Neodiprion lecontei: one gene and its partner. The protein of the gene in region 1 purifies or fractionates together with the protein of each later gene. This does not show direct contact. Links are inferred from orthologs where the notes say so. Each region holds a gene or a part of one and is shown on either strand. Other genes may lie near its edges. The genes, in order: mitochondrial import inner membrane translocase subunit Tim16 and mitochondrial import inner membrane translocase subunit TIM14.

Region 1 (3,192 bases):
ACTCCGTTCTGCTGTACGAGCTCTTCGGAAAGAGTCTAGTCTTCCCAATCAGAGACGTCTGATATTGGAATCACACGTTTCTGAACTAACTGGACATAAGGAAATAACGCCGCAGTTACTGGATGAGCTTGATCAGCAAATAAAAGCAACGCAGCCCTCAGTATCTGTGCAAACGGGTCGTACGCCACACGGGTTGAAGGTATCTACCAATAGTTTCAACATCCCTTTAACCATTTGCACCTATCTAAATGACACGAAATTTATACAGGTTGTAGAGCATTTTGAAAGTCAACCTGGCGGTCTTGTCGAGTTGGAACAGCTTTGGAGAGAGCACTTTTTATCAGCAATGGAGCCAAAGTATATGCCCGAATTGTGGTCAGTCTGCCACAATCAGGAGCGTCTACTAATCCGTCTACAGCAACGCAGGATAGAACCACAAGATGCGAAATTGGCCGGGATACTTGAAAACGACCAAAAGATCAGCTGCCATGCGTAAACGTGACATTTCCTACGTAAATAACCGATTATTTTTAGAATATAATATTCCCTGCGGTTACTACATGTTTTTATTTTTTTTTCCTGCACATCATTTATTCACGTTACATTCTTTATAACTTGCAATCAGCAACAGCTGACTAGTGAGTAAAATAACTCTGATGTCTCATGATATGATGTGAAAGTTAGTCCCACATATTGCATCAGTTATTTGGTCTTTGCAAGTGCATCTATATTTCTGTAACGCAAATTCCTTGTTAAGCCAACTCTAAGCGATATATTCATGATATCTAAAAAAAGAACGCGACAACATAGATGTCACATATCTATTACCGTTTATTATTAATTAATATATACAGGCATAACAGCGATAGATTTGAAAGACTAGATGCTAAATGGGCTAAGTTTCTTTGCTCTTTTTATGAGGGTCAGGGCCAGGTGGTTCCTGATTCTTCAATTCTTCGTCTATGCGTTCCTTGGCTCTGAAGACTTTTGACTGAAGATAGAACGATCCACCTTTCGACTTGTCGTTAGCCTCCATTAAATATTTGTAATTACGTTCCAACGCTTCCTTGTCCTTGAGACTCTCCATGTTCATGATGCGCAGCGCCTCATCCAAAGTTAGACCAGTCCTGGCGTTCGCGGCAGCTCTTTCTCTACCTTGAGCACCGCCGCCAGCTCTCTTAGCTGCCTCTTGGCTAGCCGATATTTCCTGACGAAGAGCACGCGCAAATGCTCGACCCACGACCTGTGTTCCCAGGACGATTATCTGCGCCAGGTATTTAGCCATCGCCTCGGATTTGTCTCCTGCAGAGGAGTCACAGGTATAAATTGTCACTTCGCGTAACCTGTAAGTAGGTTTTGAAGTAAATCCTAACCTTCTAAATGTCACTGTTGTATCGAGTTGTACCTGGTGAAGTGACTCGTTCGTTACGACACCATTGGCGACCTAACCTCACTTTTGGCACACTTCGCCATGGCGTGAATTTGAATGCTGGCCGCTGAGTGAACCGAAAACGAGTCCGATGATTCGAGCTTCGCGTACAGGTTTCATCGATCGCATCGTGTCGATTCCAATTACCCTGTAATCGAGGGTTTCGGATTCGATTATCTGCGGCGGGTAAACACTTTGAATTCAATTAACTGAAATCGTCGTCCGTCGTTAATTATATCTAAGTATCGTCGTATAGCCACATTTCGTTATACGTATTATTATAACGATATGGCCGAGAAGCAGATATACGCCAGGTTATCTTATTAGACATTTGGCACAGAAATATAAACGGTACTGTGTCCTATGAAAATACATATTTGTTTAACAATTTTGCGGTGAATGAAAGCAACAACTATATCGATAGACGGTGTTAAGATCTAAATAGTGAGAAGTGGAACGTTTGTGGAATTCGAAGCGTGAGAATCGATGAACTGTTCCAGCTACGCAAACCTCTTTTTCTCTCCACATATCTCGTTGTCTTATCCTCATTCCATAATTAAACTATGAATCGATAAATATCCTCTACTTATTTTTTACCGTTCCTAACAAAGAGTCATAAAAAATAATAGTTCGTATTGGCGTGGTGAGAAATAAGATGGAAAGAAAAACGCAACTAAAATTACAATGTCCGGTAAATTACTTTCCTTTATCACCGGCCACTGCTACGGAATCTAATTTTCCAGTATTCCATTCCAAGACATAGCGGTTATTAAATTCTGAAATGTACTTTTCGTACTTTCAGTTGATATGCATAATTCCGAGAGGCGATGGAAACATTTCGTTCGTTCGCTTTACTCAACGTTATACCGAAATAGAGATTGCGCGGCTTATTCTTTTATTTCTCCTCGTTTTATGCAAGGGTGTTTTCCTTTTACTACTCTACATGGCAAATCCCCTTGGCGTGGATTTAAATTTTCATATACCGTTGACGTCACTGCGCGTCTCCGTTGTCAAATTTTCACAACGCGCAAGTCGAGAAAGACCGCGCCGCGTCACGAATTAGCATTTCTCTAAAAGTAACGGTCAAACGGTGTTATTCACGACGTTGTTCCCCCTCGCCTTGTAATTCCATCGGCTTGAAGTTAACTCCAGATACCATCTCCGACAAGCGCGCGTTGAAATCATTCCGTCTCCTTGAACCACCGCGTATTGCGAACGATAATGTCGATATGCCGCGCGTATAGGTCGTGTCGTATGGGTCGTGTGTAAATGGGGTTGGCGGCGAGGTGGCGCCCTCGGTTTTACTTCGATCGACCGACCGACCGACCGTCCGTCCGTCCGTCGGTCCGCATGTCCTTCAGTACCGTAACTAGAGGCCGTACGAACCAGTCGCTACTCGGTAACGAAAAAGGGTTGAACTTTCGAACGCAGGAGGGATATAAGAGCAGATTGTGCGACCTTAAATATTGTTGAATAAGTATTAACATACGTGCGCTAAACTTGGATTGATTTCCTTTTTACGATATGACGATTGCATTGCCCTGCACGTATTTTTATCCGAACATTGGTAAAACCACGATCGGCTAATATTGTCAACGATGAATTTTAGTTAGACTGGTAATTGAATTATCAATGAAAAAAAGTGAGGCGGCGTCAGAGTGTCCGTATATGTGGATGTATGCTGTTTTAAATTCTACTCTACGAAGTAGCCGAGAATTTGAATTCTTACGGTATTCTACGTACGGACGATCGACGTGAGATCC
Region 2 (3,891 bases), on another chromosome or scaffold:
CTAGGATATAAAGTAAAATAATTAAATTCTATCATGTAGAGCAGGATGAGTTACGAGATTTGGCACTTATCCGGATAGTAAACGTTTATTTTTTCTCAATACAATTTGTCATTGGAGAGTTAAACCAGAAGCGAAAATCCTGTAATATACCCAATTAAACAATTCACAAACAATGATTCAAACTGTATGGATGGCATCGACAGGTAAGATATACCATTCTGTGTACTTCCTTGACTTAGAAATAATTTTATTATTCTGTTTAAATGCTGAAGTATATGAGTGCAAAAAATACGGTGCTCTATTAATTAGCATCTCTACTGGTATATCATACTTTTTGATAATCTTTGTCCAATCAAATTTGCTTTGACGTTTTTTATGATAAAAATGTGTGAGCAACTTTCTATAATTCTAACGAAAATGATTTTTATGGTTTACAGGTTCCATAATATCGAAAATTTAGCACGAATTGCCGAACAATTATTGCTGCAATAAATCGACGAATAAAATCTAAGCATAAAGGCATTACATTACGCTACATGTAGTACCCTGATTTGTAAATACTACTATTGTTCATAATTCAACGACGTTTTCGAAACCTCTAATGAGATTGGGAAATAAGGAATGTTCTTCAATGTCCAAAAAATAATTATTTATTCCTATTTAAATTGATCTATACATAAGTCGCAAATCAATTTGAAATAGTATGCTCAAATTTGGTTTGCATTCAATGATACTATTTGAAATTAATTAGAATACTAATAGCTATATAACTGAAAATACTATTTTTCAAGTAGATCCTTGGCTTCATTAATTTTAGCAGCTAAGTACGGTGAACCACCTCGATCCGGATGATTGGCAGACATAACTTTCATAAAATGTTCTTTAATTTTAGACTTGCTGGCGGTCGGTGATACTCCCAAGATAAGGCTGGCTTCTCTTTTCGTCATTTTGGGTTCAAATCCTCCTTTGTAGTACCGACTGTTTGCAAGTGACTGAAAAATAAACATAGTCCAAAATGAAAATCTAGATAATTCACATCTCTGTGTACAAGTACTTTCAGAATGCCAAATAAATTGATCAGAATCATTGAAACCACATCGAGCAGCATCATCATTGCTCAAAATCCAATCTTTCAAACCCTCAGGTTAAATTGTGCTTCATGTGCTATACAACATACATGAATTCATTCTTACCTGTGCGTCGAGTTTGGGCATGCCCTTAACTGCCTCAGCCATCTTTTGGGACAGCGTCGGCATGGCTCTAACAATGTAACGTCCAGCAAAACCAACAGCAGCCAACCCTAGTCCCGCAACGATCACTGTAGTAGACTGTGAAATTAATTGTGTTACTTTGGATCGCAATATAATGTAGGGTCGTCTTGAACCTAAGACTAGTTAATGTTAATAAAATGTAAATGTTCGTTTGGATAAAAAAGACAAAATCCAAATAGAGGGTTTCTTTTAAGTACGCAGAATCAATAGAGTAAATATTTGCGATAAGCAAAACTAATACAATACATGAATATTCGAAAGTCTAGCTCACGCTCGGACAGAATTGGTGTTGAAATGAAATTTAGATATCATGAAACAGTCGCAATAAATATAAAAAGACAATTTCAAGATTGTCAGAAAATGTAAATTCTGCGTGTTTGAAAAGTTGAAGATAATTTTATATTTCGAAAATGATCTCTGCTTTTCTCACCATTCTTCGAGCTCCTGATATTTATCTTGGGTATGGTAAAATACGAAATAATTAGGACAAATTCTGTTTTGGATACACTTATAATCCTAGCAGTACAATTAACCTAATTTACGGTTGCAATGTAGCATCCCGTGGATGTAAATAACAGTAGGCAATTTGCGTTTGCAATAAATGCAATATATGTAGCAATGCAGAGGTGTTCATCTAAAATTTAAGGTTAGAATGCCGCGACGACATGACGTGCGCAATGCGCCCAAGCCGACTATGTCCTTTATACGTGTTTATACGGCTGAGGAAGTGATAGGCTACTGCTCTTCTCCCTCTTCTCTGGTCTCCGCGGAGTACAATCTGCCTAGAAAATTGAGGTCGATTTCAAGGCACAAAGTTTCCGGTGATTTAATTAAAGTATAGGTACCCGAGAGAAGAATGTATACATAGATCATGAATAATGATAGATCAGATGTAATAATGATGCAGAGACCAACAAGTACATATGTATATGCGGTCCATGTACGATATTAATATAAATGATCCATTCTCGATTAATACGTAATGCATACGATAAATTTTATAATTTTCCAGGAGACAAACTAGATTACCTACAGTAATACGTCTATAATATGAAAATACTAGAATTATTCATTTCGGAATGGTATTCTATTCGACGCGCGCTCGATGTATTCCATAACATTAGTATTCATAATTATTCCAACAACTTTTCATTTGCTCTCTCGATCTTGAATTTTCATAGGCATAGAATCGAAACGCTGTTTTAGCTAGTCGCAAGTGAAGTATCTACGTTGGGTAGAGAAACAGAATTATTTTTCGTAAAGTATTCGGATGGAAAAAAATTCAAAGTAACTGTAATACATCACGGATGCGCTGATTTTGAACGAGATGAAATGGATGCTTCGTATATGAGACGGTATTTAACGCTGCGTAGTGATTGAAAGACCTGAAAAGGTGATAGGGAGAGAAAGAACGAAGCTTCTTAACACTTCGAGTGTATTTTAACACACATTTGAAAGATAAGAGCAAAATTTTTCATCGTCCAACTGTCGCAGAACGGCAGCGTTATCAGCTGACCCGTTAACTGAAGGATATATCTTCAGTCAACGGCTGACCATCGAAGGGCCTGGCCGCTTGAGTCTGGAATCGGCAGGAGAGATAAAGTGCGTATTTCTTGTATGAAATGTGAAAACTAAAATCATTATACATCATATCATATCATCGTACATCATACATCATACATCATACATTATATCATATCATCACACATCATACATCATACATCATACATCATACATCATCATACATAGTATCAAAGTTCGAAACCAAAGTTTAGATGTCGGATGTTCAGAAAGTGACGTCACCAATTCAAAATCAGCTAGCCGAATTCCTCAGTCGGGAAACAACCGCGCAGTAGAGCGGACGCATGAGAGTCGCGCTCCGCAAATTTCGAGTACCGGGTTCTCAACCTCCCGGATCCCGCGCTTCGGGTCCGCTACGTATTTCGAGTACCGGGTTCTCAACCTCCCGGATCCCGCGCTTCGGGTCCGCTACGCGATGAAACTCGACTTCCAGGATAAGCGCTCCGTGGTTCCTGGTTCATGTTTACAATAAATTATTTCAATTCGTTTTTCGCGCAAGCCCATATTCAGTAGCTTTCAGTCCGCTAATAAAATTTCTCGACTTCCAGGATAAGCGCTCCGTGGTTCCTGGTTCATGTTTACAATAAATTATTTCAATTCGTTTTTCGCGCAACCCCAAATTCGGTAGCTGTCAGTCCGCTAATAAAATTTCTCGACTTCCAGGATAAGCGCTCCGTGGTTCCTGGTTCATGTTTACAATAAATTATTTGAATTCGTTTTTCGCGCAACCCCAAATTCGGTAGCTGCCAGTCCGCTAATAAAATTTCTCGACTTCCAGGATAAGCGCTCCGTGGTTCCTGGTTCATGTTTACAATAAATTATTTCAATTCGTTTTTCGCGCAAGCCCATATTCGGTAGCTGTCAGTCCGCTAATAAAATTTCTCGACTTCCAGGATGAGCGCTCCGTGGTTCCTGGTTCATGTTTACAATAAATTATTTCAATTCGTTTTTCGCGCAAGCCCATATTCAGTAGCTGTCAGTCCGCTAATAAAATTTCTCGACTTCCAGGATAAGCGCTCCGTGGTTCCTGGTTCATGTT

The links.
Region 2: the proteins of mitochondrial import inner membrane translocase subunit Tim16 (region 1) and mitochondrial import inner membrane translocase subunit TIM14 purify together in Homo sapiens (affinity purification with mass spectrometry; 3 studies listed by BioGRID and IntAct, with this or other methods). This does not show direct contact. The link is inferred for Neodiprion lecontei from reciprocal best matches to the Homo sapiens genes PAM16 and DNAJC19.

What each region holds. Positions count from the first base shown.
Region 1 is NC_060265.1:28,101,884-28,105,075, forward strand, and holds mitochondrial import inner membrane translocase subunit Tim16, read right to left. Parts: upstream 1,612-3,192; 5' UTR 1,406-1,611; exon of another isoform or gene 1,374-1,405; intron 1,344-1,373; 5' UTR 1,286-1,343; coding exon 896-1,285; 3' UTR 814-895; downstream 1-813. Other genes in the region: exonuclease 3'-5' domain-containing protein 2, read left to right, coding at 1-199, 269-496. UniProt on the Homo sapiens protein: Regulates ATP-dependent protein translocation into the mitochondrial matrix. Inhibits DNAJC19 stimulation of HSPA9/Mortalin ATPase activity.
Region 2 is NC_060263.1:26,439,655-26,443,545, forward strand, and holds mitochondrial import inner membrane translocase subunit TIM14, read right to left. Parts: upstream 1,972-3,891; 5' UTR 1,705-1,971; coding exon 1,702-1,704; intron 1,329-1,701; coding exon 1,194-1,328; intron 993-1,193; coding exon 780-992; 3' UTR 635-779; downstream 1-634. Other genes in the region: growth hormone-regulated TBC protein 1-A, read left to right, coding at 40-49. UniProt on the Homo sapiens protein: Mitochondrial co-chaperone which forms a complex with prohibitins to regulate cardiolipin remodeling.